Alligator mississippiensis: one gene and its partners. The protein of the gene in region 1 binds, or shares a complex with, the protein of each later gene. Links are inferred from orthologs where the notes say so. Each region holds a gene or a part of one and is shown in the gene's direction. Other genes may lie near its edges.

Region 1 (8,035 bases):
GGGGGAGTGAAGCTGCTGCCACCACATGCACCCCTGATGGGCGAGCCTGGAGCCAGCACAGGGCCCAGACTGGCAGCGGGGGCAGGTTACAAGCTGATGCTGAGCACAGGGGAGGAAAAGTGGCCCTTTGCCCGCCCTGTGGCCGGCGCCCTGTGCTGCAGCCACTCGCAGCCCGTGTGGGGCTGCCTGTGCCTGCTCAGCCCCGCGCAGGCTGCAAGCAACTGCAGCGGGGAGCACCAGCCATGGGGCAGGGGAATGGCCGCTTTTCCCCACGCTCAGCTTTTCCCCAGGCCACTTTTCCCTGGGTTCCTCCCCTGCCCTCCCCCCCTTACCTGAGTTTCCAGCTGGGGCCCGGGCCAGAACTCCTGCTGGGGCTTCTGGCTGGGGGCTGGGCCAGGCCGGGGGGGCCCTGCTGTTGCAGAAGCCTGCCGGGGCTTGCCCTGGATCCTACTGCCCCAGGCTCCTGTCATTTTTCACAGGAACCAAGGGCAGATAAATATTAATTTTCTAAAATTTTTAGGAGCCCTGTGGGCCAGGTAGAATGACCTTGCAGGCCACATCCGGCCTGTGGGCTGTATTTTGCCCACCCCTGCACTTCAGCCTCATCAGTGTGCTGTCAGTCCAATTTAAACAGTGACTAATGATCATATAATTAACTCTTCGTCTTTTCTAGTGCCTTTTACCAAAGGATGTGAAAGGAATTTTGAAAAAAGTAATTAACTAAGCCTCATAACCTTGCCACCTTTCAAACTGGATAAACAAGGGGCTATCCAGCACCTAAATTCAACCACCTCAGACGTGCACCATAGAAGCTGTTTACCAGTGCACAGTAATACTACAAAAGAGTTCCTTACAGAAAATAAAGAATGACCCAAATTTAACTACATGAGGAACTTTTAGGATGCTCAATGTAGTCTTGGTTAGAAGGTGGACATGACATCAGGCTTAATATTTCCTTCTTATAAAAAATGTCAGAGGATCTGTAATAAGACTAAGTGGTCAGGATACCAGTTTTACATCTCATCTGAAAGACACTACTACCGTGACTGAAAAATCTGAAGTGGGATACTGGCTTACTACTAAGAGGGGGAAATGCTAACATTTGGAGTGCTGTGTCCAGTTTTGGGCCCCCCACTACAGAAAGGATGTGGACAAATTGGAGAGTCCAGCAGAGGACAACGAAAATGGTTATGGGGCTGGGACACACGACTTATGAGGAAAAGCAGAGGGAACTAGGCTTATTTAGTCTGGCAATGAGACAACTGAGAGGGGATTTAATAGCAACCTTCAACTACCTGAAGGGTGGAGCAATAGTCTCAAGTTGCAGCAAGGGAAGTTTAGGTTAGATATTAGGAAGAACTTTCTCACTAGGAAGGTAGTAAAGCACTGGAACGGGTTACCCAGAGAAGTTGTAGAATCTCTATCCTTAGAGATGTTTAAGACCTGAGTAGACAAAGCCTTGGCTGGGATCATCTAGTTGGGAATGGTCCTCCTTTGAGCAGGCAGTTGAACTAGATGACCTCCTGAGGTCCCTTCCAACCCTAATTTTCTATGAATCTATGATAGGTCAGGACAATCGCACAGAATGATCTGAATCGTGTTAAAGTGGGGCCAGTTCAAACAAAATGAATTTTAATAAATCCAATTTCAAGGTCATAAATCTGGGAACAAATACAGAATCAGGGACTGCAGGTGCTCTTATGGTGCCTAGAAAGTAGGGACTCTGAAAAGGATTCAGGCATCATGGTAGACATGTATTTCAAAATAAGCTTCCAGGATAATCCTATGATAAAAAGAACAAGTGTGACCCTTGCACTGGGGTTCAAAGATAAGGATAGTAGGTAAAAGCAGAGATGTGATTTTACATATACATAGGCATCAGTGAGCTCAATGCCACAAAGCTGCATACTGAAAAAATTGAAATGATGCAAAAAGACCATAGAAATTATTTGAAAATCTATGACAATGACAGACTTGAAGAACTCCAGTCTGCCTGCTTACAAAAAAGAAGACTGAGAGATGGCTTGCTTATTGGGGATAAGTACCTTTATGGGGAAAAAATCCTGGGTCCTAAAGAACTCTTCAGTTTAGAAAATAACGGCATAGCAGAAGTCAATGGCTGGAAGTTCAAACCAAACAGACAGGGACTTACGCTACAGTTACTGCCATTTTTTAGATGTCTTGTACATATTGATCCCACTCCTGGCACAATGCATACCCTGAGCACAAAAGAGACTGGGATCTTCTAACCAACAGCTGCATGAAAGGTACGTGGACCATGGTGTAACAGAGCACCGAGGTGTGCCTATTTTTGAGAGGCACCTTGCAGGTGGCGAAGGGGGTTAATTAGGGACTCACCTGACTAGCAGCAGGTCGTGCTTGAGCTATATAAGCCCTGGGCCTGGCCGAGTCATGCAGTTTAGTTTTGAGAGTCATGAAATGAGGAGCTCTTAGCAACAGAGCTCCTAAATAGACTGAAAGGAAGCAACTCTGCAATGCTGGGAACAAGCGAAGGTACCCAAGGCAAAGAGAGGCTTGTTATACAGGCAGGTGGCCTTGGTTTTATGTTATAACCCAGAGAATGTTTGAGTGTCTGCAGATCCTTTTATTAAGTTGAATCAGTGGTTTAGCTTTGAGCCCTACAAGGGCAGGCTCAAGGCCTACTTAGAGTGCCAGTAGCCCAACAGTGGCTGAGAGTGGGGCCCAGCAGAAAGTGCAGGAGCTCAGAGGGTGGGGATCAGAAGATCCATGAACCCAAGGCCAGAGAGGGGCTGGGAGTGTTATCAGAGAATCCAGGAGCACAAAGCAGGGCTGAGAGCAAGACTGAAGAAGCTTTAAAGACACGGAGAGTGCCCGAGTGCGAGAACAGGAGACTCAGGAGCCAGGGACTGGCTGAAAGTCAGATCAGAGTGTCCGCAGGCCCAGAGAAGGGGTGAGAGTCAGACTAGAGGGCCCGTGAGCCTGAGAGGGGCTGTGAGCCGAACTAGCGGGTCCACAAGCCTGGGGGGAAGGGGAGGCTGAGCTTGGGACTAGGGTTCAAAAACCCAGAGAGAGGCTGCATGTGGGACCAGGGGTTCTGAGGGCTCAAGAGGGGACTCAGTGGGAGACCAAAGTCCAAGACCCCACAAGTGGCTGCATGTGGGACCTGAGGGTCCTGGAGCCCAGAGGTGGGCTGTGCAGGTAACCAGAAGGCCAAGAGTCCAAAGAGAGGGGCTGAGAGCACTGAAGAGCCCAGAGAGGAGCTAAGTATAATAAACAGCAGGTGACATCATTGAAAATAACACCCATAAGGCATGGAGTGTGGTGTAGGGAAGGAGGGAGCCTCGCAATGAGCCCTTAAGGCAGGGGTCGGCAAAATACAGTCCACAGGCCAGACGTGGCTCACCAGGCCGTTCTATCCAGCCTGCGGGGCCCCTAAAAAATGTAGAAAATTAATATTTATCTGCTCTTGGCTGCCTGCCATGCAGCCCTCAATGGCATGCCAAAACTCAGTAAGTGGCCCTCCGCCCAAAATAACTGCCTGCCCCTGCCTTAAGGCTACAAATGCCCTGCAGAGACAAGGGCAGGCTGAGAGGGGCTACTTAGCTTGAGGGCAGAGCTATGACTAGGGGGGTCCATAAGGGGCCCAGTGGTGGTTTGTATGATTCAGGCTCACTCCAAAGCCCACTGGCAGCCTCCCTTACATTATCTCTCAGATAAGAACAAGGTGTGGTGGGCAAGTGATCAAAGAGGGGCTACATTAGAGCCTGACCAGGCAGGGGCTGCATGGCCACGGGAGAGCGTCACAGCTACCCCTGTGGCTGGGACCTGCCATACACGGGATCCAGATGCATACACAATCATGAAGGATCACAATTACGGTAAGAAGGTAAGTAACTGTCCTTTCTTCTCCAAGTGCCTGTCCCCATGGGTCCCCTGGAGCTGTGTTATCCACACCACAGGGCTCCCCTGGGTCCAAAGATCTGGCGGCAGGGCCGCGGTGGCAGCCTTAGTTTGAGCACCACTGGGTTAGACAACACGATGGTCGTTTTCAGCTTTTAAACGTATGACGATGAACAGGGTTTAACCCGACCTGCTAACTCCAGGGAAACTTTATCAGGATTCACTAACGTGAGGAACGTGTTTGTCCTGCCAGTGGTGCCGCTGCCTCGGGCTTTACCTTCGCTTTCCACAGACGCTCTGCAGAGCGGGTCCAAGTCCCTGGCACGAATGCGAGGTCGTCCCTGCTCCACCCTGCGGAGGGTGTCCCAGCACTGCGGGTGCGGACAAGCAGCCATGTCGCAGATGGTCTCATCCCACTGGTCCACGTCCGCCGTTTTCATGGTCACTCGGGCAATGGGGGACAGCAGTGACCTGGCAGCACGTGGCCGTGGGGCTCCCTGCCCACAGGAGACAGTGCCCACAGGGCAGGGGGAGGAGGGCGTCATTCTGCAGCACCCAGGCCACGGACCTGCCAAGCTCCATCAGCCTCACAGGGAGGAACCCTCCACCCAGCCCCGCCCCGCCCACTGCCCTCAAGCCCCGCCCACCCCAGCCTCACAAAGTGGAATCCCCCACCCAGCCCCGCCCAGTGCCCTCAAGCCCCGCCCAGCCCACCCCAGTCTCACAAAGTGGACCCCCACCCCAGCCCCGCCCAGTGCCCTCAAGCCTCGCCCACCTCCGCCCTTCCCCGGCTAACCCCGCCCCGCCCCGCCCCCGGGCCCTCCTTGGCCGCGGGGCCCCCTTGCTCACCTCTCCGCGGGGCCGCCCTAGCGGGGGCCCAGGCCCGCCCGCGCGGGTTACCAGGCAACCACCCACGCGCGGGAGGAGGAGCGGTCGCGGTGCACGCTGGGAAAGGAGAGGCCGACTACGCCGGCGGGCGGGCGGCGCGGTGCGTGCTGGGAGGGGTCAGGGGTCAGGGCTGGCGCGCGGTTCGGTTGGCCGGGCCTCTGCGCGCGGTGAGCGGGTGTCGCCTTCTCTGGACTCGAGGCCCCCTCGGAAGACGCCTCCTCTTCCCCTCCCCTCGGTTTTCACCTTCCGGGAAACTAGAGCCGCCGTCTCGTTGCAACAGGCCGGAGGTGCGGGTGCCTGCCTGACCCTCAGTGTTTACCGTGTGAGTGGTGCGGGCGCGTCTGGCCGCGTGGCCCCCGCGGCACCCTTGTCAGGATCTCGAGGCAGCGCGGGGGTTGTGGTAGGAAACCCCTGCTCTAGACGCTTTGCAAAGTAGGACTTGCTAGATCTGCTGCATGGATGAAACAAGCGTAGACTAGGAGAGGCAAGGATGTCTTGGGGGGATACCTGTCATGGGACCGAGTGTTTTATAAGCAGAGCTGCATGGGAGAGAAAAGCATCTGGTGAATTCATAACGCTGGTTTTAGTTCCAGGTGTCCCAAGATGGCAGAACGACCAGAGGACTTGAACTTGCCCAACGCTGTCATCACTCGGATTATTAAAGAAGCAGTAAGTACCGTCAGTATCGAGACGCTTGATAAATGGATGCTGCACATTTGAGATTACCCCTCGACATCTGAAACGTGACAGCTGTTACATTGACTACTGTGGGAAGAAGAGGTTAAATCCTTGGCCTTTCTGATTGTATATTTGAGAAGTTAGAGTAACTAACTGCTTTTGGACTCAGCAGTTTGATGTGTCCAGAATAGACACCTGGTTTTTAGCCTTGCTGGTGACTTCTCCCCGTGTAGTCTCTACGTGGCTTGGCTGAACGGGTGGCTGTACAGCAGTGGGTCTCGATCCTCCGGTAAGTCTTGGAGTCGATCCGAGGCTGGGGCGGGGGCTGAGTGCCTGTCTGCATGCAGACAAGGTTCCTTGGGTGAATTTGATATTTTTTATTAGACCAACCCAAATGGTTGGAGAATAGTTATTAAGCAAGCTTTCGGGTTCAAAAACCCTTTGTCAGGCTAAGGACGCTGCAGCAGTTGCTGCGTGCTCTTCCTGCACGCATGCGCCCCAGCCCAGCGGGTCAGTTTGTGGGGTAGGGAAGGGGTGGGGGCTAGATCGAGGCCCCCACAGTGAGGGACAGTGCTGCAGGAGCAGGGGTAAGTTGAGTGGGGCCCCAGCTATGTGGGACTTACCTGCTGGGGAGGCGCACCCCCAAATAATTTTTTCTCCCTCTGCCTCAATCTCCCCCTGCTGTACCGGTTCTTTCAGGCAGAAATTATGTAAAGCTTGAATCGTTCCTTGCAGCTTCCTGACCTGTATGAACTGCATTGCCTCTGATAAAATGATGCTGCTTTCTTTTCAGCTTCCTGATGGAGTAAATATTTCCAAAGAAGCTCGAAGTGCAATATCTCGAGCTGCAAGTGTGTTTGTGCTGTATGCAACATCATGGTAAGCATCTCTTGGATCAAATCAACAACAACTAGTTGATCTGCAGATAGTCCACTTGTGGGGGCAGGATTTTCACTGCTTCTCATGAAATACCCATTGGTGATAAATATCTATGAGGGGTTGCTAAAGCTTCATGGAGTCTTAACCTGTAATGTAATCTTGTGATTCATGATAGTTTCTTGATTAAGCACCATGGTGCCAATGATGATTTGTCCCTCTGGGCAAAAATCGCTTTGCCTCTGTACCAGTGGACAATATTTGCTGCTGTAAAATGCTTTCTATGGTGTTTAATAATGAGGGCATGGACTATTAGTGGTGAATTACCATAAACTTGCCAGTGGTCATCTTTAACCATCAAACATAACAGTTGATTTACCTGATCATTTTAGTTTGCTTTACTAGCTATAACAGTGGTGATATTGGTCATAAAAGTATCCAGCCTTTTTTTTCTTTTTTTTAATCAAACATCCGTTTAATGAAGGGGTGCCTTTTAGTTTTGTTATGTGATTCCATCATAGTCCTTTGACTTGCTTGCTGAATGTTGTTCTAAACAGACTAGGAAATTACTGGGTGTGTCACTGAGAGTTTATTTGATTACTTAGGACCCCTCTCTATGTGCAGGTAAAGGTGCCATGTGATCTAAGTACACGTGCATGGCAGGAGGAATGTTTATGGAATTGTGCAATAGATCACACTGTGCCTTATTGTCTTCTCAGCAGCGGAGGCACCCAGCCACTAGGACCATGTGCAGCTGAGTCCCACAGCTGACCGTTTCACCTTCTTGTACATCTATACTCTTTGATTAAATCTAAAGTTGTTAACATTCAAATGTCTCTTAAAGGCAATTTTTTAAAAGTGCACCTGCCTTGAAACTTGCCATTTCAGTTTTACAGTTACACCAATAAATAATTTTCCCTGTTATACTTCTATGAAACTCCCACAACAACAGAAAAATGTAACTAAACAAAAACTGGCTACAAACATAAATGCAGAGTATAAACACAAAGGGGGGTTGGTTGGTTGTTTGTTTGTTTGTTTGTTTGGTTTTTAATCTGTTATAGTTAATTTCCTGGTCAATTATAAGCATTACTTATAACTGGTGACAAAAATCGTTACTCTCTGAAACGTTTCGAGTTGACCGTGATGCTTAAAACCACTGGTAAATGGAGTCAATTTCTGCTGTTTGATTTCTGTTATTCTGCTTGTCTTCAATTAGTGCAAATAACTTTGCAATGAAAGGAAAGAGAAAAACACTTAATGCTGGAGACGTTCTCTCAGCCATGGAGGAAATGGAGTTCCAGCGATTTGTAGCCCCTTTAAAAGAATCACTGGAAGGTAACATTCTCTAAATTCACATTGTGTAAGGACTAGCAGTATGAGCTCCTATTTATTTCGAAAGTTGGTTGTCCAATATTGTTCCCTGTGCCATGTCTCTCATCTCTGCCCCACAGCCTGTATTGAAGTTTGCATGGGGACAAATAACATGTGGTTCATTAGTACTGGTGTGGTGTAATTTTATAATTGTTGTTGGTTGGGGAGGCACTTTTGTGGTTCATGTAACCTTCCCCCATCAGTTTTGTCTAGGTAGAGTCTTTTGTGCTTCCTGCTACATGTAAGCTTCAGTATCTTCATAAACATTCTGCTGACCTGCATATCCTTTAGAGTTTGCTGGCACAGCTAAAATAAGAGGGTGGGTTACTGCAACTGG
Region 2 (7,648 bases), on another chromosome or scaffold:
GCTTACCTGACCTTAAGATAAGCAATCCTCATTAAGTACAGTGTGTTGGTGCTGTGATATTAGCAGCCCTGGAACTGATTAGCTTCTCCTTTTTCAGGGCTTCCAATTTTGTTTGGGAGCTGCTATGACAAGCCTTGAAAATAGGAGGAACTGCTCAGTTTCAGGCCCTCTAACAGCACAGTAAGTACCTTACCTATCCTCAGTCCTGCAATACTAACAGCTCTGAAACTAACTCACCCCTGTCATCTTCAAGGCTTGTCATACTAGTCCTTAGGCTAAGAACAGATGTCAGATTTCTCCTAGACAACGCCTTTTATTCCGGGATCCTACAGACATATGAGCTCGCTGTCAAACTTTAACTTCTGTTTTTACCCTTGACTCTTTGTGGTACAGTTAACCCTGTGAAATATCCAAGATAATTCTTCTTAATTTACACTATTCATTATTTTACTCTGATAGTGTTGGAGTGATGTTGTAGCTCAGCGTTGTCCTTTATTGGACTAACTGCATGGCTGGGATAGCCTTGGACAAGGCTAAGAATACACTGCATTCGTCTTTAGGTTACTGTGACAGTAATGCCAACTGCTGCCACAAGATGTCATGACAAGGTAAGGCTCAAGGAACCATACAGAGAGTTAAACAGTAAAAACAATGCACATAGCATCATGGTGAATGATTGTTCACACCAAATGTTTTACACAAAACAAACACCACGTCCTTATTATAGAACAGATATCTATTCAACATCTTTATCAGCGACTTGGAGGTGGGTGTGGAAAGCACGCTGTCCAAATTCACGGATGACACAAAGATGTGGGGAGAAGTGGGCACGCTGGAGGGGAGGGACAGAATCCAGCTAGATCTAGACAGGTTACAAAGGTGGTCAGGTGAGAACAGAATGGAATTCAACACAGACAAGCGCAAGGTGCTGCATCTAGGGAGAAGGAACCTGCAACATACCTATAGGCTGAGGAACACCCTTCTCAACAACACAGTGGCTGGAAGGGATCTTGGAGTTATTGCTGACTCCAGAATCGACATGAGCCGCCAATGCGAGGAAGTGGTCAGTAAAGCTAACTGCACCAATGAAAACTGCACCATTGTTCCTCTTCCAAGTATGATTACATAAGTAGGTGCATCACAAGCAGGTCCAGGGAGGTGATCCTTCCCCTCTATGCGGCGCTGGTCAGGCCGCAGTTAGAGTACTGTGTCCAGTTCTGGGCACCGCACTTCAAGAGGGATGTGGCCAGCATTGAGAGGGTCCAGAGGAGGACCACTTACATGGTCAGGGGGTAGCAGGCCAGGACCTATGAAGATAGACTAAAGGGCCTGACCTATGAAGATAGACTAAAGGGCCTGAATGTATTCAGCCTCTACAAGAGAAGACTGAGAGGGGATCTGGTGTCTGTCTATAAACTCACCAGGGGGGACCAGTGGAAAATAGGTGAGCCTCTGTTCCCCCCAGGCACCACCTGGAACTATGAAACAGGTTCCTAAACTGTAGTACGTGTAACTCTGGCAAGACATCTCTGGGGAGTACTCAGGAGAAATTGTATAATGGCAGATTTAATTTTTATTTTAATAATTGACATTTAAGGGGTTAAAATATAAAATGTATGTGGTAAGGTTACGTGGGCCGCTGGTAAATCTGGAAAGGGGTATAAAATAAAAAAAAGACTGGGGAACCTCTGCCCTAGAAAAGTTAGTCTCATGGGACTGGTTGTGCGTGGTTACTAATTGTATAGGAGACTTCCTATTCCATTGTATAGGAGACTACAATGTTGCTGGAGCTATACTAATGACTCAGATAGTCACCTGGCATGGCATTGCAGCCTAGAGTTGTGGCAGAGATGCTCACTCACATTAGGTAGGTGCTTGGATTCATTCATTCTCAGAGTTTAGCCCTAGTTTATTGATTGTAGCTCAAGGCAGTTAATTACATTGTACCTGATCCCCTGCATTTTCTATTTAGTATGATCTTACACTTCCATTCCTACCTAAAACTGAGGTGTAGCATGTTTGTATCCTGCAGATGAGATGTGGTGGATGAAGATATCACTATGGATCTCTTACCTATGTCACACAGGTGATGAAGCCACCTGTCCGCCCAGCCTCAGAATAAAGGTGCTCTAGAAATGCTCTAGAAATGGACACTCCTCCAGAGAGGTAAACCGCACGTTTGAAAGAGCCACCTGGATACCACGTGAAGAACTGCTGCAGTACAGAAGAAAAACACCCACAAATTGCACACCGCTGGTTATGACATATCATCCATCCCTTGAACCTGTATGGAAAATCCTCAAAAAATTGCAACCCATATTAGAAAGAGACCCTATTCTTAAAAAGATCTTCCCAGAGCCACCCATCCTAGCCTTCAAACAAGCACCAAACCTCGCCAACCTCATCACCAGAAGCAAACTTCCTCAAGCCCAGAACACACCAAAAGGATCCAGACCGTGCCAGGACAAGAAATGCAAAACCTGCCAACACATCTCCACCACCCCCACTATTACTACACCCCACAACAGAGCCATCAGCATCCCAGGATCTTACAGCTGCACCTCCAGAAATGTAGTATACCTCATCCAATGTACCAAATGCCCTGATGGAAGATATGTAGGAGAGACCAGACAACAACTGCACACCAGAATGAACGCACACCGGAAATCCATCAAAGACAGAAACACCCAATTACCGGTGGGGGCACATTTCTCACAGGAGGGCCACTCTCTCAGTCCTGATCCTCAAGGGAAATTTACACACCACTTCCCAGAGATGAGCCTATGAGCTCCATTTCATCAACCTGCTGGATGCTAGAGATCATGGACTAAACAGACACTGGATTTTTGATACATTATAATCTGCCTGGCAACTGACTCCCCAGCCCAGCCCAGCCCCTGGCTTCTTCACTTTTCATCCCATCCAGAAAGAGCACACACCAACTGCTGCAGCTTCCTTAGTCTGACGAAGGGTTTTTGAACCTGAAAGCTTGCTTAATAACTATTCTCCAACCATTTGGGTTGGTCTAATAAAAGATATCAGATTCACCCAAGGAACCTTGTCTGCCTATGTCCTTAGACCAACACGGCTACAACCTAAACCCCTAGAAATGCAAAGTATTTATCATCATTAATTTATCATGCAGTGTCAGACTGCTCCAACCAACGATCATGGACCGTAATTTTCTGGCAGCACATCACCATGCATGTTTATCGGTGCTTGGAGATTATGGATGAAATCCTGGCTTTAGTAAAATAAACGGCAAAACCCCACTTGATTTCAGCGGGCTCAGAACCGTGTTGGAGACCCGAGACCCCTGCATCGCTTCGTGCTGGGTGCGTGACCACATCCCTCCTACAGGCCGTCTAAGCCCAGAAACAGTTTAGCTTTGTTGCACAAATGGCTAGTTTCGTGTCCCTGGAGGCTTTTCCAATATACCTCAAGGGAGAGTCATACACACTCAGGCTGGATCCATCTCAAGTTTATTTGTTTGCAAACAGATCAACAAGGGAGCTCAAAGCCCAAATCCGAGTCGAACCCTAGCCACGCCCGAAGATACATTTTGATACCTCTCATGAACAAGATCCCATTGTGGCAATCTGTGATTTGCTACAGTTTTCTACAAAGTTTACGTGCAAAGCAGGCAGTAACTAATCTGTGTTCCCACAGGAATCAGCCTTATCGTGAACCAAGCATTGTTCAGACTGTGCTCTCCCCCTAACAGGCCCCCCACCCTTCCTGGCCCCGCAGTGGTGGGGGAGAGAAGAAACAATTTGCAGTTTACAGTTCTTAGCCGTGAAGCCTTTTGTGTAATGAGGCAAGACATTTTTGCAATAGCTTGAAGCACAGGCCCCTGCAAAGTCACACGGGCCAGGAGCGCCGAGTAAGGATCGCGCGGCTACCTGCGATCAATGCAGACCAGCCACACACACGAAGTCACGATCACAGGACAAAAATGACTACCAAGCTGGAAAGCGAGCCGAGCAGCTACATAAAGTTAGTGCTTGAAAACACGTAACAACTCCACAGCTGGTTTGGACCCAGGTTTCATTGGACTGTGTAGCAGGTGAGACACGGTGTGTTGCGAGGGGAGGGGGGGAACACCGAAGAATGGCCCCAGGGCACACACGTGTCTCAATGCCGCCCTGCTCCGCTCTCGATGCTCATCCGGGACGCGCATGTCTGACCCCGACTGGGCTCAAACCCCTCCGCGCGCCGGAGGCCGGGGGGGGGGGGGAGGGGTGAGTTCCTGAGCGCCCCGGTGCATCTTGGGACGTGTAGGCCTTCTCCCGCCGCGCGGGGGGAGGAGGAGGAGGTGGTGGTGAGGCGAGCGGTGCATGCTGGGACTCGTAGTTCTCCCTCCCGCCCGCGACGGCGCAGCACTACAGCTCCCGGCGGCCCCCGCGGCGCGGGGCAGGATGGCGGCGCGGCCGAGCGGCGGCGAGAACCGGCTGGTGTCGCTGCCCCTGTCCCGCATCCGCGTCATCATGAAGAGCTCCCCCGAGGTGTCCAGCATCAACCAGGACGCGCTCTTCCTCACCGCCCGCGCCACGGTACCGCCCTCGGCCCGCCCGGGGGGGACATGCGGGGGTGTGGGGGGAGGCAAGCGTCCGCTGCGGCGTGAAGCGGGGCCGGCGCGGGAAGGCGGCTCTTGACGTCTCTCTTCCGGTGGTTTGCAGGAGCTGTTTGTCCAGTACTTGGCCTCGTACTCGTACAAGCACGGGCGAGGCAAGGAGAAGAGAGCCCTGACCTACAGTGACCTGTCGCACACGGCCGAGGAGTGCGAAACCTTTCAGTTCCTCGCAGGTGCGTGTCGCCGCGGGCGGGCTGGGGGGCAAAGCCACGGTCTCGCGCACGGTGCTGCCCCGTGGCGTCGGCACACATCGCGCGACGGGGGCCGTCTGCGCCGCAGTACGAAGTCGCGGGACGCGCTGGGCCGGCGTCTGGGGACAGTCGGCGCCGTCGAGCGCCTTGATGCCTTGTCACAACGGTCGCGTCACGGCTGTCCGAATGAGGAGGCCGAGCGACGGGAGGTGAAGCAGCCCCAGTTACGGCAGTGTAAGATCTGGGTGTAAAGCCCAGAAGCGCTGATGCTCGCATCGTCTGCTTTACCCACCAGGCCACACACCTGTAAATCCGCTTAGAGAAGAGCAAGGCAGGCGGTGGGGGAGGCTTTTAGGAAACGTACCAGCTCAGAGCTATGAATGGATGAGCGTTCGATGCACAAACGCGTCTGAGGTGGGAACAGGACCACAAACGTTCACGTGTTGCTCTCGGACTTGGGCGCTTTGGGGTTAGCCCTGCTTGTTCATAAGAACGTGCTAGGATGGTGGTCTCATTCTAGGCACCTTTTTAGCAGTGTTGCCTTAGCAAGCAGTCCACTTTCCCATCTCTCGAGGTCATCAGCTGTAAGAGCAGTGTCAAACTTACCCCGGGCCAGATCTGAACTGCAGGGTCTCCCCCCAGGCCAGATCTGTGGGGCCAGCAGCCAGTGTGGTAGGGTCACATCCAGGCAGCAACGTGAGTCCAGGGCTGGGTGGTGGTGGTGATGGGCTGCATTCAGGCAGCAGCACAGAGCTGGGGGGCTGCTGCTGATGGCCATGTCCATTGGGGTCCACGGACCCCAAATTGTGTGGCGGGCCATACGCCCCAACTTCCAGGAGTCCGCCGGGCTACCAGCAAGGCTACATGAAATAGCTCCACGGGCTGCATGTTTGGCACCCCTGATCTATAATGGTGTCCTGGACAGATCCCTAAATGGAGCATAGAGGAATTGCTTGCAAGGGATATACCTAGAGCAGGTAAACCTCATATCCAGTGTTGTTCTACGGTGCAAGTAACTGCTGACCGTGGCAGTGGCAGCGTCCACACCAACTGCAACCGGCTAAAAACAGCATAACAGGTTTCAGAATTTAAACCTCTATAATTAAGAATCTCTCTCAAAAGAAGACAAATTCTAGCGTTCGAGCCTTAATTGGATGAAAACTCTCTACTATTACGTTAGCCATTGTTCCTCTTCCAAGTATGATTATTATAGATTGAAATAACTCATCTTGTTGTTCCCTAGACTAAAAAGTTGCATTCTGTGAACTGTGCAGCTAGTAATTAGTGACTTTAAATGCCACAGTAATAACTGTCCTAAATATAACTGTTCTAAATGAGCACAAAATCAGCAATTCTGCCTTTCAGATATCTTGCCAAAGAAGATCCTAGCTAGCAAATACCTGAAAATGCTTGAAAAGGAGAAGAGAGATGGAGAGGTGAAGGAGGAGGAGAAGGAAGAAGAGGAAGATGAGAGTGAAGAAGACGCCGAATCTTAAGGGTTTATCAGACTGTCTTCATATTCGGTCTTTTTCCTGTTGTATAAAAGATGTTATTTTTTTGTGACTGAGAATCCAACTGCTGGATTTATTTGTATGTGAAGTCACCTGTTTTCTATTTTTGTTTTAAGAAGCTTTATCCAATGACACACACACAGCCTGAAGGACAGAATTATCCCCCAGATACACACACACACAAACACACACACACACGAGGGGAAGAGTTCCTACAGATCTGGAGACAGAACTAGCTCATTCTTTTTAAAGTAACTTAGACAATCATTACCACATTTCTTGTGGGCAGCCCTCATCATCCAGGCCAAAGGTCTCTCGCGTTCTCTCTAGGTGGTTAAATGGATCCCCTCTTACAGCTGATGCTGTTGGTAATCAACTTGAAGAGGCTGTATATACTCTATCAATAGTATTTGCCTTCTGCCAGCCAAGAAGCAGATAACTGGTTCAGATCTCTATCCCAGTTCTCCTATATGGGTCTAGAACCTACCCATGGATCAAGCCCTTAAAAACCAACATGACTTCTGCAGTGCTGTCCAAATCTCTTCCTTCCTCTAGAAGGAAACTGGATACAGGGCTAGACTAGTTCAAATTAGTGGTGTAGGTCTGTGGCTGTAGTGGTGATGAAGAAGTACAAGTGTTAGCAGGTGGTGTAAATATGTGCATCTAGAACCTGTGTTTTCCTCAGCAAGGTCTCTACTTTTGCAGCATACTGTTTATGGTATTTAACCAACACGCATATTGTGTGAAGTTTAGAGGTGGTTGTATGGGAAGAAAATAAGTAGTCCTTTTACCATGTCAGTGGTAGAGCTGGAATATTTTTGTTACAATGAAATTGGAAACAGCCCTGTGTAGAAAATTTTGTACACAATTTTTTAAATAAATGTTTTATAAAATGTGGAATTTAATGTAGAGGGTCCTGACAGCTTTCTCATCTGTAGGCTTTCCAGTTTATCTTTGGTGCACAATTAACATAATTGTCCCAAACTTGCTGATGGGCAAACTTAATGAATGTGGATCCTGTTGGAGAAAAAAAAAAGACTAGCCATGAGTACAAAGTAATGATTGAGTGGGAGGGGGGAGAAGGGACACTAGGAATTCACACTGATCTTCCAAATAGTTTACATTCTTTGTTGTGGGTCAGCTTCAGTGTGTTTCAGGGGAAACGTGCCTGGATAAACCCTGGCCATGCCCCTGTAAAGAAATGTTTCAGTCTCATCTGCCCTCTTTCTGGCTAAGACGCTTACTGGAGAAGTAGTAAATTAAGTTACCATATTTCACAGTGTATAGGTCGATGTGGTGTATAAGTCCCCGTT
Region 3 (7,901 bases), on another chromosome or scaffold:
AAAATTCGGATAGTCTTCCAAAGATTGTGCTAGCATTATCAGTTCTTTTGGAAACTTCATAATGGATGTGAAGTACATGTTTAAAGTGCATTACCCAAGTTGGTGAATTCATCCAAAGCTTGAAGCACATACCATTAATCATCCCTATTAGAGAGTATGTTGGGCTTAGCAGGAGCAGGCTGGTATATAGATCTTCTGACTTCTTTTAGACTAGTAGGCTGTCCAAAATGTGAGTATGCAGTAGGGCTGTGCGAGGCTTCAGACAGGGCTTCGGATCTGGAGAAGCTTTGGATGCTTTGGGGTCTGAAGTAGCATGCCCGGATCAAAGCGCTGGCCTTGTTAGGCTTCCTGAAGCGGGTCAGAGCTCCTGAAGAGCTTCAGGGCCACCTCGGAGATCCGGCCATAGGGTATAATGGGGAAACAATAAAATATCTATAATTTTCTTGTTTTTTGCCCAATTTGGATAAAAATTTCAGAGGTGGTAGACTCTATAGAGGGTATAAGGACTGCTAAGTTTCAAGAAGATAGGTTTAGGGGTTTGGGGGGAACTGCACCCCAAATTCTTGAAAACAAAACTTGTGTCACTTCTAGACGTTACAACATAGCGGGGTGAAAACTGCAGGGATGGTAGCCTATGCTGAGGCCACAAAGCCTGCCAAGTTTCAAGAAGATCAGTCTAGGGGTTTGGGGAGAACTACACCCCAAATTCTTGGGGCGTGGGAGACGCTACTGCAGGCCTGGCTGCTAAGCTACTGTGCTACCAGTTACCAATCAGTCATAATTCACTCAGGGACCAGCTCAATACACAGGACTTGGCTAATGTAGCCAGTTAATTGCCATCAATTAGCACCTACAAAACCAGACTAAGGAGAGGAAAGAATCAATACAGACAATCAACTGCCCCAAGACCGACATAATCAGTCCCACAAGCACCCATGGCACGAGTTTTGCCTGTCAGCAGCTAGGGGTGCAGAGCCCCAGAACCCCCTGCACCGATCTCCTCCACAGCTGGCAGGCGTCACAGCAGGGGCCACCATCCCTGCAGCTGTCACCCTGCTGTGTCTTAACACACAGAGTCACCCATGGCACAAGTTCTGCTTGTCCACAGCTTGAGGTGCAGTTCCCCCCCAAACCCCTGCACCGATCTTCTTGAAACTTGGCAGGCTTTGTGGCCTCAGTAAGAGCTACCAGCCCTGCAGTTTTGACCCCCCTGTGTTGTAACACAGCCATGGCATGAGTTTGACTTTCAAGAATTTGGGGTACAGTTACCCCCAAGCCCTTGCACCAATCTTCTTGGAACTTGGCGGGTTTTGTGCTCTCAGCAGAGGCTACCATCCTTGCAAGTTTCATCCGAATCGGACAAAAAACACCAAAGTTATAGATATTTCATTGATTCCTCCGTTATACCCTATAGCCGGATCTCCAAGGCAGCTTCGGAACCACTTCGGCCGGATCCAGGTGGAAACCCGGTCCGGAGCTCCGGATCACATCACTGCCATCTGAAGCAGCTGTATCCGAAGCCAGATCGGATCGCACAGGCCTAGTATGCAGCTACTTGGGATTCTTTATATTTGCACAAAAATATATCTATATCTATATATAAATAAATAATATATAACTCTATCTCCAGCACTGCCAAGTGGCCCCTGTGGTTCACTTGGCAGATCAAAGCATGCTAAAAACCTGTTACACAATTCACACCCTTTATCCATGCACCCATCTCCATGCCTGCTCCTGAAAAAAGTCTGAGCCAGACCCCTTTCCACCAGATGAGGTCTACCACTTCTTTCCCGTCATCATCTTCTGTTTTCCGTTAGTACCAGTACATTTTGCTTAGTCCGATTTGAATACAGTCTATGACTGTGGGGTCTGAGTGTTTGTTGATGAGCAGGTTCCTGGCTTTGCATAGTGCATACCTGAAGCAGGATATAAACTGGTCAAAGTGAGCTGCCGGGGTCCCTTGCTGTCTGGTCAGGTGCCCGTAGAGAACCGCATCCCTGGTCAGGTCTCTGAAACCTGTCACCACCAGGAGGAGTGCACAGATTTTCTTCCATACCTCTCTGGCATATGGGCAGTCCCAGAAGAGGTGGTCAATCATTTCTGCCTTCCAGTGGCAAGTCTGTCTCTGGCAGTTCGATGGACCTCTCTGCCCTGTGCTGATGACTTGGATATCTTCCTAAGAATGAGCAACCAAGGCACAGGCATCAGCAAATAAAAGTTTGTAGATAAGTTTTCAAGCACCCTGGGTTTTGCTCACAGCTATCTGAGATTAAACACCTTTCCACCAGACCAGAATTTAATCTGAATATGTATATCAAAATCCCAGAAAGTAGCAAGCAGCAAGGACACAAACAAAACACAAAGGACAAAATCCTATTTCACTTTAACTGCTCAAATAGGAGTTACCAGCCCAGGAACTGCCATTTTTTACACTTTTACACAATTTGAGATCCTATGCCACATGCAGCTTGGATGTGTAAGCATCCACGTAACTACTGAGGATGCATGGTAGCTTGCAAGCTGGCCAAGCAGGTACTCAGCCCCATATGCACTATGGTAGGCAAATTCAAGTCACAAAAACCCATTACTAGGAGGTGTTAGATGGGGCAGAAGGCCCATCTGAACTTTAGCCCCACGACCTGAGTTGGCAGGGCTCTTACCCAGGAAATAGAAAACCCAGGTTCCTCTCATACAGACGGGTTTGAACCTGGACCTTCCCAGGTTTAGTCTTCCAACCATCAGGCTGCAGGCTAGGCATTACTCCATGCCCTCTCTACCTGGCCCCCTGGGCAGCTGGGAGAGGAAACTGCATAGGGCCAGGAAAAAGCAAGCATGCTAGAAAGTGCCTGGTTTAACGAGAGAGCTGCTACTCTGGAAGGGAATAGACCCTGGATTCCAGCCTGGAGCCTGGTTCCCAATGGTGTGTAAATGTTTCTTCTGCTTTCTATCTAGTAAATATTAGATTCAACATGCAGTGGTTCAGCTTCAAGAGGTAGGCTAGCTAGCTTCTAATCCACGGGTAGGCAAAATATGGCCCGTAAGCCAGATCTGACCCATGGAGAGACTTTGTCTGGCTTGCAGCAGGTCCTTCAGTCCTGCCTGGCTCAGGTCCTGTCCAACCTGTGACACACCCTGCTTCTAGGCAGCCCAAGCAGCTGCTGCTGGCCTCAGCCCCACGGTACTGGCAGGGACCCATGTGCATAGCCCTGACCGCAGCCCACCCCACGCCTCCTCCAGACTTGCCCATCCACACTGAGCAGCGGTGGCAGCAGTGGTGGCTGGGCAGAAGCTACTGCTGGGTGTGGGCAAAAAGTGGCCTCTCACCACTGCCAGGCCCTTCTTACTACAGCCACCCTGAGCCTGCACCTGGGCTGCCTCGCGGCTCCTCTGCCCTGCCACCGCTGCCCCGCTGGGTGGCCTGGAGGAGGCAGTGGTGGCAGCAGAGAGGAGCCACAGGGCAGCCTAGGTACAGACTCCGGGCGGCTGCAGCGAGAAGGGCCTGGCAGCAGTGAAAGGGAGGTGGCCGCTTTCCTCCACACCGTTCTGCCCAGCTGCTGCCACTGCTCAGTGCGGGCAGGCCGGGGTCAGGGGTGTGCGTGCCTGCTCCGGCTGGGGTGAGCCCGGAGAGGGCATGGGGGGGCTGGGGTCAGGGCTAGGGCCGTGTGCTGTTGGCGGTGGCAGGGAGGAGCCACAGGGCACGTGGGCTCCATGCTGCTGGGGTGGGGGTGCTTACTGGCTGGCGGCAGCTCCCCAGAACCGCCTGTGTGGCCCGTGGGCCCAAATAATTGCCCGCCCCTGCCCTAATCTGCGACCTGGTGGTTAGACCCATTTCTGGGCAGTCAGCAAGATGCAGCTTCAACCTCCGTGGGGTGAGAGGGGTCTAGGACCTCCATCCCATTCCTGGGCGAGTGCCTTGAGCCCTTGGCTTCTGGGCTGCACCGTGCGCCGGCCCTGGTTTCTGCTGGACCAGAGTTTGGGGGTTTCTGCTGAGGCGTGAGCGAGGGTGTGGGGCTGCCTCCCTGCCGACGGCGCACGCGCGACAGCATCCACGCCACACTGCGCAGGGGAAACAGGTGGCTGTGTACCGGGATAACTACTGTTTGGGCACGCAGAGCATAGCAGGAGCCTGCCTTGAATGGCACGGTGCAAGGACACAGCACGACCGTGAATGTCGTCAGCCCGTCCTGGGCAGCAGCTTGAGCCGGCTGTGTTTTTCGTGCGATCTCGGGGGTTTCTTGTGCAGCGGGGCGAGCCCCCCAAACACGGAGATTTCCGAGCCGCTCCGGCGCCTGGCTGGGTGGGGGTCGCTGCACCGGTCTGTCGGTGCAAGATGGCACGAGCTCAGCCCGCCTGGCGCGGGGCCGGGGCCGGGGCGGCCGAGGGGCGCCCGCCAGCGCGGACAGGGCGGGAGCGGGAGCGGGCCGGGCAGCGGAGGAAGGGGCGGGGCGGGGCGGGGCGCGGTGCGCAGGCGCGGGGCGGGATGGCGGCGGCGGCGGCGGGCGCGGAGCCGGGCCCGGTGGTAGGGGCGGCGGCGGCGGCGGCGGCCGGGGAGGAGGAGCCGGGCCCGGGAGCGCCGTGTGCGGCCCCGCTGCGCCTGGCGCGGCTGCCGCTGGCCCGGGTGAAGGCGCTGGTGAAGGCCGACCCCGACGTGACGCTGGCCAGCCAGGAGGCTGTCTTCGTCCTGGCCCGCGCCGCGGTGAGGGGGCCGGGGCCGGGGCCGGGGGAAGCGCCGCGTTTCCTCCCTGCCCGCTGCGCTGCGCCGCGCACGTGCGGGCCCCGCTCCGGCTGTCCCCGCCCCAGGGGGAGGGTGTTGCCGCCTCCCCCGGCAGCCCGCAGCGCGCGTGGTGCTGCGCCCGCTAAAGCGGCTGTCACGGCCCCGCGCCGCGCCGCGCCGCTAGCCCGGGCCGGGGCTGGGGCCGGCAGGCTGCGAGCTTAGGTGAGCCGCTTCTCGTGGCCGGTGGCAGCGCCCGTCTCCTCCGGGTACGGATGGGCGCCCGCTGCCTCTTGCTTCGAGTGCTGCCAGGCGGGCGGGCGCGCGCACCCTCCTCACCCAGGCGGGCGCGGGGCTAGTCGCCGAGAGCTGGACGGCGCAGCCGGCCGTGCTGGTTGACACGGTGGCGACAGCCGTCCAAGAGAGGCCTGGCCTGACGTTGGTACCTTTGTGCCGTGACTAGACTAACGAGGTGGTACGTGGAGCGCACCAGGCGGACCCAGAGGTGCGCGGCTGCCAGCTGGGCTCGGCGAGTGCTGTCACGTAGCTGCCGAAAGAGCGCAGGGCTGCACCGCGCAGGCCTCCCCCACGCAGGCCTCCCCCGCAGACTGCTGCGCCCACAGGAGGCCGGAGGAGACGGGATGCCCTGGGCACTTCACCAGGGGAGGATGGGGATAGTGCAGCCCTGACTCCTGAGCCGCCTCTTCTCACCTGTAGCTCTTTGTAGGAAGTGCGCGGAGTTTGCTTGTGGGGTACGCCTGTCTCGCTGTGCTGTCCCGCACGATCGGTGGCAGGAGGCTCCCCTGTCAGACTGTGCAGGCGTTCACTAATGGAGGGATATTTCCTGTTGAGCTGGAGTGTGTTTGCCGCTTTGGGTCTGTGTTGTTGCAGCTCTTTGAACACCGATTGCTCCTGTGGCTGCTGAACAAGTTGGCTTCTTTTTCTGAGGCTTCTCTTGCTCTTTTTTTTGGCTCTTCTTTGGCTCTTTTGAGGTTTTGAAGAGGTATAGTTCATCTCCTGCTGGGCTGTCAGGTCTGGGAGCCTGCAGTACTCCACCTTGTTGTCCTCACTGAAAATACTCTGTAACTTGCTCTGCGATCTCCTCGTGCCTTTCCTTGGGCAGGGTTGGGACATAGATGGTTCTGCGCCAGTTTAGGTTCAAGTCAACCTCGGTAGTGCTGGCTGGCCGACAGAAGTCTGCAGAGTGGCTTTGCTCCCAGGTCTGCTTTTCGTCAGAGATGTCCCCAGCGTCAGGTTCTTGGGATTCACGTACTCGTGATGGTTATAGGTGCTGTCCAGGAGGCTGTCGCCTCCTTTTCTGCCTTAGACGTTATTGCAAAAAGCATTTCTCACCTGTTAATGAATATAGTGCCCTCTACTTGGGGCTGTCTTGGAAGAGCATTTGGGACCTTCAGTTAATGCAGAATGTGGGAACCCCTTTTTTTAGTTGCATAAAGTTTATATGAGTATTTTCTTTACCTGTGCTCTACACTGATTCCTAGCTGATTTCTTCTAGTTGCAGTTCCAGGTGTTAGGATCAATTAGCTGAAAGTATCCTGGAACCTAGATGGTCTTTCTGGTAACTGTTTCCTGGTACTCTGAAAGAGAACAGGTGGGCTGCTCTTGCTCTTAGTTCCAAGGCTTGCTCTTTTAGAAGCCGGTATGTGGACACTGGATGAGGTCTTCAACCATAGACCTTGTTCCCCTCAATGATAAGTCGCAGCCTGATTTTAGTGGCCTTCCAAGCACTGCATAAGATGTATTCACTTGCTACAGTTAAGAAGCTGTCTTGGTAGTGAGAGAAGGTAATTACAAGTCATTGCAATTTGTATGTTAAAAGTAGTATCAACTCTCAGAGCAGTGCTGGGTGTCTCTGACAAATGCCTTACATTGGATTGCACAGCCACGTCAACTCATCGCGTGTCATAATTAACTTTGAGTGGAGCTGTCCTTGAACAGATTGGTCACCTCTTTATGAGCTAAAGCAGGGTTGTCTGACTGGCTGCATGCGGCCTGCAAGGGGCTAACATGCAGCCTGTGGGCTCCAATGCAGCCACCACTACTGCTAGTGCTCCTGCTGCTATGGTGGCCAGGGTCTGTGGGATCCCCCTTTCTCTTCTGGCTTCTGTTTCCTTTCCTCACTCCTGGGCATGGGGCAGCACAGTGGGAGGAGGACTGGGGAGGAGTCCGGCATGCACCCGAGGGAGAGGGAAGCCTGGTTGTGTGCACACCCAAGAGAGGAGCTAGGCTATTTGGGCTCTGCATGTGGTCAGGAGAGGAGCTTGGCTGTCCACATAGTGCATGCGGTGATACATGTAGGGGTTGCTGACTGCCTTTGTGGTGAGAGGCTCCAGGAGGACCACCCCAACAGTATGCAGCCCATCCTGCCTGTGGCCTGGGAGACTGTAGCCCACTGGACCTGTGGCTCCCGCTGCCCAGAAATGGGATGGCCTTTAGCAAAGGCAGGGGTCTGTAGCCTTTTAGAGTGATGGGCCACTGGTTGTGACCTGGCTGTCGCCATGAACTATTGCTTCTTCCTGCTGCCTTGGGCCACCTCTCCCTTTTATAGTGACACCTGCCTGCTGCTGCCTCCACCATGGACCTCCAATCCCTGCCCCAGAGGTAGTGATAAGCCCAAATTCAGCGATGACAGTCAGCCGTGTGTGTCACGGGGTGTTGCTGCGGGGGGGGATCAGCTGCACGGTGCTAGGTGGAGAGGGACAATGTACTGGGCCAAGCTGTGTGCTACTGATACCTTGTGGACTGTAGGTTGCTGATCTGGGCTAAAGCATTGCTTTACATTGTTTCCTGGAATTAAAGTACCACTGGTTCATGGAAGCCCAGACTGGAGCTTCCCAAAGTAAATCCCAAACCAGTTTCGGGTCTTGGGGTATGAATGTCGAGCGTGGGCACAGAGCTGAAGACTGACTCTCAGAATCCAAAAAAAATATGTTGCATGTTTACAGCTGATGGTTTGCCAGAAACTAAAAGCAAGAGTCACGCTGTCTTCCCTCGCTGCCTAATGCATGCAGGATGCCTTTGCCGTGTTTATACTTTTCCCTGTTGTGCAGCAATTGTCTTAATAGTGTAATGATTTTGTCAGACAGTCTTGGAGCTGTTCAAGGCAAAGGGAGCCTCTTGATAGGGGTTACAATTTCCTCCTGAAATTCTGCCTGACTCTGTTTTCTCT
Region 4 (7,995 bases), on another chromosome or scaffold:
ACGCTGTTTTGCCTGGCGCTGTTTTGCGATAACGCTCTTTTTAAATGGATACCTGATTTCGCTTGGCGCTCAGCGAGTTTTGCTATAATGCTCGCGGTCGCTATCTTGGGTCGTTAATAACAATCGTGGTTGCTGTCTCCGCTCGTCGCTTCAGGCTTGGTTTTTCAGGAACCGTTTAAGAGTGCGATGCGGGAGTTGCCTGTAACTACGACACAGCAGTGAATGTGTAGACCACAGGTGGGCAAAATGTGGCCCACGGGCCACGTGCAGCCTGCCAGGCTATTCTATCTGGCCTGTAGGGCCCCTAAAAAATTTAGAAAATTAATATTTATCTGCCCTGGGCTGCCTGTCATGCGGCCCTCAATGGCTTGGCAAAACTCAGTAAGCGGCCCTCTGCCCAAAATAATTGCCCGCCCCTGGTGCAGACGCACCACATTGTGTTATCCCAAGACCTTGTGTTTCTTAAGCCCCCTTTCAGCAGGCAGGGGATTTGTTGGAGCGGAGGGATATCATTACTGAAGTAGGGTGGCCCCAACAGCTGGGCAAAATGGCTTTGAAGCTGACCAAGGTGTCTGGGTGCCTTCTCCCCCAGTGTTGCAACCACCTATGAATGTGCCAGGGGCTTGTCTAGTGAAACCTACAGCAAGGAAGAGGGCATGATTAATAGGCTGATAAAACAATCCAAAAGAAGAAAGATACAGCATGCACACGCACCACTGGGAATACCAGATTCCCAGCCAAAGAAACTTGTCGCAATTACAAAAGAGCTGACTATGGGGAATAATGATGAAAAAATTATGATCAAGGCTTTTACTATTTCACTGGAGGAAAAAACGATGTTGTAAGGAATACTGGTACAATACTGGAACAGCTGATAAAGAATACAAAGGTAGAAGGATACTGGTTTCTAACTTGGAACCATAAGACATAAGAAAGAAGAGATACTTACATCACAGAGCTGAAGACTGGCATCCATAAGTAACTTTGAAGACATTCAAGATTCGAAATTAAAACAATCGTCTCAGCCAACATGATTATAGCGTAAAGAACAGAATTGCTGAGATAAATGCTTCCAAATAACTTTTCATTCCATCCAGGAAGAGCACACACCAACTGCTGAAGCTTCCTTAGCCTGACGAAGGGTTTTTGAACTCGAAAGCTTGCCTAATAACTATTCTCCAACCATTTGGGCTGGTCTAATAAAAGATATCAGATTCACACAAGGAACCTTGTCTCCAAATAACTAGGTAGTTTAAGAGTAATGTAGCCATGACAGTGCAGAAATTATGCCTCCAAACAAAAGAGGGTAGCTGAAGTGTTCAGAGAAAGAATCTAAATAAATTATTGCTGCCACTAGTGCAGAACACATCTACAGGCTACAGTTAAAGGAATCCAGTAAGCAGGACAGAGACAGACTGACTAGGAACAGTAGCACCATGGTCTAGCACAAGCTTGGGCAAAATACAACCCAGGAGCCAGATCTGGTCCATGGTGGGACTTTGACTCTGGCACCATCCGGCCTGTGGTGCATCTCACTGCCCCTGGGCGTGCAACAGGGCTTGGGCAGGTTGGTGGCTGGACTCCATTTCCTGGCAGCCCCAGCAGCAGTCTCCTTTTTGCTACCACTGCTGCCAGCCCCATGGAGACTGCGCCAGGACTTGTGCGGACAGAGCCTGAGCCCCAGGCAGAGCGCACAACCCTGGCCCCGACCCCAGCCCACTCCACGTTCGGGGTCAGGATCTTTGCAGCACCCGCACTGGATTCACCCATCCCAGTCATGATGGACAGCTGCAGCTGGGCAGAAGCTGCTGCTGGGGGCAGGGAAAAAGCAGGACCTCCCCTGCTGCTGCTGAACCCTTCTGACTGCAGCCGCCCAGAGCTTGCACTGGGGGCTACCCTGCCGTTCCTCCCTGCTGGGTGCGGAAGCCCAGAGACCGCAGTGGAGGCCCCAGGTGAGCGGCCCCTGCTGAAGCTGCTACCCGCAACTCCTTATGTGGCCCATGGGGCAAAATAATTGCCCACCCCTGGTCTAGCACATGCCGGAAAGCATATGGAAAGCAATGTGAAATCAAAAAGATAATGGGCAACAGTTAAAGAGCTATGATAAACAGCCACTCGTGTCCTCATGCAGCAGCTGCTACAGGAAGTAAAAAACTATGTGCAGTGTTTGAGGATGTGGAGATTCCCAATGAAAAGGAGGATATCTGCTGTAACTTCAGCAGAAACAAAGGCTCTCCATATCCATTTGCTGCAGAAGAAAGCTGGCAGTCATTCAACTGCCTGAATAGCAAGAATGCTATTGGTCCAGTAACTAATGTTATTTCAAGTAGTTTGTGAAGCCAGGAGTAATCTAATCCCAGCTACACAGTTAAAGAACAATATTAGACTGAAGGAACATGATGAAGTGTTGGCAATATACAATATACAGCACAGGAATGGTCAGAGCCCCACGAACAGGCATTTCAAAGTACAACTAAATCATAAGTGATGCACCAGTCCTAAAGTCCAGTAAGCCTGTGGAATAGCTAGACTTGCAATCTATAATGCCTCAGAAAAAAGACTAGCAGCAGCACTGATGGAAAGCTTGCATTTGCTAGTAGACTTTTGAGAGCCTGGCAGACCTAGATGTGCTCAAACAAGAAAAACTCTTATGAAGCACAAGTTAGACACGCACTCTGATCATGAACTGGTACAGAGCCTGAATAAGAAGCCCCTGCTGAGTGTACCCAGGCAACTAAAATGCCCCCTATTTGGATTCCAGGACTGCGATAACGGGGAAGGGGACTGAAAGAAGGGTCTGAACAGACTTTGGGCATGGTGTTAGCCTTGCCTGGGCTGGGCAGACAGGTAAGCAGCTCTGCTTAGAGTATATGTGGAACAGCGTTAGGTGTGGAGAGGAAAGTGCTCTATGACAAAAAGTGACTGTACAGCTCTGAAATCCTGTCTCTGGGGATAGGTTTTGAACACAACTGTTCAGTCTTAATGATGGGTGTTATAGGGTCATAATTTCTGTGAGGCAGACTACAGACACTGAGGTACAATTGTGCCTGAGAATTGTGTTTGGAAAAAAGTGTCTTAGGGTGCCTATACACGAGCAGCGAGGCTGCTGCACTGTGCTGGCGTCCCAGTGCCTCGGAGCAGACTTGATTAATCGAGTCTGCTGGAGCTTGGCAATTGCCACTCCAGCAGCCTCCTGTGTCTCGAACAAGCTTTAGTTCAAGCACCCCCACTGCCATGTTTAAGTGTGGGGATGCTGATACACGACATACAGTGGTGCTTTATTAAAGTGGGTCCCAGACAGAGCTGCTGTAATTAAACTACGCCCCCCCCCCCCCGAGTACATGTAAAAAAAGTGCCCTTATGTTTCACCAATGGGCAAGGGTACACTGCCTCACGATCCACACGTTCAGTGCCAGATAGGGATCTGGAGAGAAAACAACTCCCCTGGGTTTTCACAAAGCAGAAGGAAAGGAAAGTCATCCCAGAGCCTGATAGCAAAAGACAGTATAGTATAATAAACAGGTTCAAAAAAGGCCCATTAATAGCTATGAAATAGAATAGTCGGGGATGTTGCTTGATATCCCTAAACCAAGGATGCTTGATGCCAGAGAGGTTATGATAAAGTACGGATTATATGCTGGAAAGTCCTGTTCATATGGTCTCTGTCCAAAGCATCTCCGCTTGCCACTCGGAGACAAGATCCTGGGTTAGGTGGTCTTACCCACTATGGCACTTCTTGCGTTCTTATGGCAACGGAGACAGAGCCTAGGACGGGTAGGCAACCCCCGGCACGGGTGTCAGCGTGGCACGCAGTTTGTGTTTGTGCCTGGGGTGGACGGCAGGGAGGGCACCGGGGCCGTGCTGCCACAACAAGGATCAGCACCTCACAGCTCTGCGGAGCGCGCCAACGTGGCACAGGCCCCGGAGCTTGCGGGTGTCCTTGGCGCTCTCTTGCCGACCCCTGGTCTAAGACCACTGCAGCTGAGACGCAAAGAGCACGCCCAGACAGACAGACACACGAGGCCAGGCATTTTTATTTTCCCCGAGGGCCTTATTCAAGGCCAAGAACATCATCCAAGAAGGCGGCAAATTTTTCCGGCCGCCCAGGAGGAAAGGGCTTCAGGAGGGACAAGTCCACGGACTGCAGGGTCTCGGCGAGCGTGCTGCAAGTGCAGTAGACGAGGTGGCCGTCTCGGCGGAGCTGCCTGGCCAGCTCCAGCTGATGATTGTCCATCAGGGTTTCGTTGATCACCACCACCAGCGGCTTGCCCTCGCCCAGCGTCTCCAAGCAGCTGCCCGCGCCCGCGTGGCTGATGACCAGGTCGGCTTGGCGCAGGTCTTCGGCCAGCGAGTCCTTGAAGCGGAACACCTCGAGCGCGAAGTCGGGGGCGCGCACGGGCCGCGGGGCCCGCGTGCCCCGGCCGATCTGCAGCACCAGCCTGCCGTAGCCCAGGCCCCGCAGCACGCGCAGGCACGGCGCGGCGGACACGGCCGCGATCAGCTCGTCGAAGCAGGTGGTGCCCACGGTGACGAAGGCCGACTTGGTGGCGCCGGGCGCGGGCCGGGCCTCCAGTGGGCAGCCCCCCGCGCCTGGGGCAGCGGAGGAGACCGCCATGGCTTGTAGGAGAGCCGGCCTCGCGCCCAGGCACCAGCCCCCGCGCGCGGGCGCGGGCGCGGGGCTGCGGCCACGAGGAGCGCGGGCCCGCGGAGCAGGAGGAGGAGGCGGAGCCCGCGACCAAGATGGCGGCCGAGAAGCTGCGGAGCAGACTGGGTGCCGCCTTCCGCCTGCACGGGCTGCTGCTCCGCGCGTGAGTGCCCGCCCGCCTGCCCGCGGGGCCCGGAGCGAGCGAGCGAGCGAGGGAGGCGGCTCCGCTCTCGGCCCCGCCGTGACACGGGTGTGGGGAGCTGCCCGGTCCGGTCCGGTCCCCGTGCTGTCCGCGAGGGCCGGCGTGCGCACGGGGCTGGCTCGCAGCTCCTTTCCCACGGGACCAACGGGACTGGGTGTGAGGAAGGGAGCCCTCGTGACTTTTAAGATTTGTTCCAAGTCGGAGAATGTTTTCCCCGTGTATTCTTCGTTCCCTTGGCTTCCTTCTCCTGGTTTTCTACTCATCTTGTTCATGCCTTGTCCGGTTTTGCCCCTTCCCCCCCCCCCCCAGAATGGGTGTAAAGGCGTCGGAGAGTCCGCGCAGGGAACAGCAATGGTCTGGGGGGCTGGGGACAGCGCTGGTGAGGAGAGGAGAAGTCGAGGGAACTGGGCTGATTGAGTCTGGAGAAGAAGACCGAGGGGGGTTGAACAGCAGCCTTCACCTCCCTGCAGGGGGGCTGCAACGAGGATGGAGCTGGGCTGGTCTCAGTGGGGGCAGATGGCAGGATAAGGAGCAATGGGCTGAGGCTGCAGCAAGGGAAGTTGAGGTTGGATGTTAGGAAAACCCTCCTGGTGAGAAAGTTATTGTAGAAAATGCAGGTTGGAAGGGACCTCCAGAGGTCATTTAGTCCAACTGCGTCCTCCGTGCAGGACCAGCCCCAAGTAGATCATCCCAGCCAGGGCTTTCTTGAGCTGGGTCTTAAAAGCCTCCAAGGATGGAGAGTCCACCACCGTGCTAGGTAATCTGTTCTAGTGTTTTATGACCTTTTTAACAAGAGAGGTTTTCCTCGTATCCAAACCAAACTTCCCTTGCTGCATCTGGAGACCATTGCTCCTTGTTCTGTCATCTGCCCCCACTGAGGACAGTGACTTTTCTAAATAGTCCCTACCCTGTTCTTTCACCACTGTAGGATGCTCACCTCCTCCCCAAACTGCTGCTTGGTGCAGTAGCCTGTGAAGATTGAGGTGAAAGGCATCGAGCACTTCAGCCTTTTCCGCAACATCTGTCGCTAGGTTGCCTCCCCAATTCAGTAAAGGACCCACACTTCCCCTGATCCTCCTCTTGTTGCTGTGAAGCACTGGAACAGGTTACCCAGAGAGGTGGTGCAGTCTCCATCCTTGGAGGTTTTCAAGGTCCCGGTTGACAAAACTTGGGCCGGGTTGATGTAGTTGGGGCTGGTCCTGCTTGGAGCAGGGGTTGGACTAGGTGTGACCTCCTGAGGCCCCTTCAACCCTCATTTTCTATAATTCTGTGTTTCTTTGGCCTTTCATCTTCTGGCACTGAAGAGACACTAAGAAAAATTATTTGGATAATGTTCTGAAGATTTTATTTACACCACGGCCTTAGCACCCTATACATTTAAATAATGGAAGTGTCTTCCACAGATGTTTCTTTATTTATAAAACATCAAACTTGAAGTAGTCTTCTCTAAAAAGCCCACACGGGGTTTGGGGGGGGTGGGGGAAGTAGGACAGGATTATAGTATGAGCCTCTTCCCACAGATCAGGTTGCTAGGGCCTGTTTCACATTTAATTTTGGTGGTTTTTTTAGGGATTTTAATTTCAGAGACTCTTTGATTGATAAGGATGCAGGACTAGGCTTGTTATTTCCACCCTTTTCCTTTCAAATAACCACAAGCTGTATAACATTTTATGTACATCAAATGATATACTATAGTAGTGTAGTGTTGTAAAGTATATATTTTGTTTACTGACTATTCATTTCCTTTCTTGGCTAACTTTTCTATTTACACCAGTGATGCCATTAAGTATCTCACTGAATCTCTTCAGTCTGTCGGTGAATTAGAGCTGGAAGATGCCATCGAGAACATCATTGAAGCTGTTGAAAAACAGCCTTGTAAGTAACCATTTTTTTCAAAGCCTTCTAATTTAATTCTACCCTTGTCATACTAGTTTTACAGAAATAAGCCTCCTAGCAGCTTACACAGTAAGTCAGGGGTGGTCAGCTTGTGGTACATGTGCTAGAAATGACGTGGGTAGTGTGGCAGATGGAGGCCTTGGGGGACAGGGAGTACAGTGGCAGATAGGACAGAGCAGCAGATTGGGCAGGGGAAGGAGATCAGTGGTACTCGGCAGGGTGGGGAAGGGAGCATGGGGGAGAAGGTCAGTGCTTGCCAAAAATGTTGGTCCCTGGTGCACTAAGGTGTCATTTTAGATCTATTGAGATCCTGTTTTGCTGAATTCATAGATTAATAGCTTGTAGAGTTGGAAGGGACCACAATGGGTCATTATGTCTGACCCCCTGCCCCTGGCAGGAAAGAAGACCGAGGTCAGATGACCCCAGCCAGGTGACTATGTAGACTCCTCTTGAAGACCTCCAAGCTAAGTGATAACAACCACCTCTCTTGGAAGCCCATTCCAGATCCTGGTCACCCTTACTGTGAAAAATTTCTTCCTAATATCTAACCTAAATCCACTCTCAACTAGTTTACACCCATTATTCCTAGTCACTCCCTGGGGCGCCCTAGTAAACAGCGCTTCCCCTATTCCCCGTTGACCTCTCCTAATAAATTTATAGGCGGCCACAAAATCTCCCCTAAGCCGTCTCTTGTGAAGGCTGAAGAGATTCAGCTCTCTCAACCTCCCTCCGTAGGGTCTATCACAAAGGCCACTAATCATGCGAGTGGCCTCCTCTGGACCCTCTTCAGATTCCCCGCGTCCCTCTTGAAGTGCGGCGCCCAAAACTGCACACAGTACTCCAACTGTGGCCTGACCAATGCCACATAGAGGGGGAGCAGCACCTCCTTTGTTCTATTAGTCATGCACCTGCTAATGCACGACAAGGTGCGATTGGCCTTGTTACACTGCCGGCTCATGTTCATCTTGGAGTCAATTATGACTCCAAGTTCCCTCTCTGCCTCTGAGCTGCTGAGAAGGACCTTTCCTAACCTACAGGTGTGCTGGGATTCCTCCTTCCCAGGTGGAGTACCTTACATTTCTCTTTATTAAACTGCATCCTATTTCTCTCTGTCCATTGCTCCAACCTGTCCAGGTCGGCCTGAATCTGCTCCCTGCCCTCCGGTGTACTAACTTTGCCCCATAACTTGGTATCATCAATGAACTTGGAAAGGGTGCTCTCCACGCCCTTGTCCAAATTGCTGATGAAGATA

The links.
Region 2: POLE3 (region 1) and CHRAC1 share a complex: the UniProt entries of both Homo sapiens proteins name them as parts of the CHRAC ISWI chromatin remodeling complex. The link is inferred for Alligator mississippiensis from reciprocal best matches to the Homo sapiens genes POLE3 and CHRAC1.
Region 3: POLE3 (region 1) and POLE4 share a complex: the UniProt entries of both Homo sapiens proteins name them as parts of the DNA polymerase epsilon complex. The link is inferred for Alligator mississippiensis from reciprocal best matches to the Homo sapiens genes POLE3 and POLE4.
Region 4: POLE3 (region 1) and POLE2 share a complex: the UniProt entries of both Homo sapiens proteins name them as parts of the DNA polymerase epsilon complex. The link is inferred for Alligator mississippiensis from reciprocal best matches to the Homo sapiens genes POLE3 and POLE2.

What each region holds. Positions count from the first base shown.
Region 1 is NC_081835.1:48,960,179-48,968,213, forward strand, and holds the start of POLE3 (DNA polymerase epsilon subunit 3), read left to right. Parts: upstream 1-4,788; 5' UTR 4,789-4,870; intron 4,871-4,911; exon of another isoform or gene 4,912-5,092; intron 5,093-5,357; 5' UTR 5,358-5,373; coding exon 5,374-5,439; intron 5,440-6,241; coding exon 6,242-6,327; intron 6,328-7,543; coding exon 7,544-7,662; intron 7,663-8,035. Other genes in the region: C12H9orf43 (uncharacterized protein C9orf43 homolog), read right to left, coding at 4,160-4,427. UniProt on the Homo sapiens protein: Accessory component of the DNA polymerase epsilon complex. Participates in DNA repair and in chromosomal DNA replication.
Region 2 is NC_081826.1:7,832,623-7,840,270, reverse strand, and holds CHRAC1 (chromatin accessibility complex protein 1), read left to right. Parts: upstream 1-4,386; 5' UTR 4,387-4,418; coding exon 4,419-4,553; intron 4,554-4,679; coding exon 4,680-4,806; intron 4,807-6,189; coding exon 6,190-6,320; 3' UTR 6,321-7,240; downstream 7,241-7,648. UniProt on the Homo sapiens protein: Forms a complex with DNA polymerase epsilon subunit POLE3 and binds naked DNA, which is then incorporated into chromatin, aided by the nucleosome remodeling activity of ISWI/SNF2H and ACF1.
Region 3 is NC_081839.1:9,696,225-9,704,125, forward strand, and holds the start of POLE4 (DNA polymerase epsilon subunit 4), read left to right. Parts: upstream 1-4,480; coding exon 4,481-4,696; intron 4,697-7,901. UniProt on the Homo sapiens protein: Accessory component of the DNA polymerase epsilon complex. Participates in DNA repair and in chromosomal DNA replication.
Region 4 is NC_081825.1:304,176,876-304,184,870, reverse strand, and holds the start of POLE2 (DNA polymerase epsilon subunit 2), read left to right. Parts: upstream 1-4,727; 5' UTR 4,728-4,740; coding exon 4,741-4,808; intron 4,809-4,816; exon of another isoform or gene 4,817-5,001; intron 5,002-5,775; exon of another isoform or gene 5,776-5,830; intron 5,831-6,621; coding exon 6,622-6,722; intron 6,723-7,995. Other genes in the region: UDP-N-acetylglucosamine transferase subunit ALG13 homolog, read right to left, coding at 4,052-4,615. UniProt on the Homo sapiens protein: Accessory component of the DNA polymerase epsilon complex. Participates in DNA repair and in chromosomal DNA replication.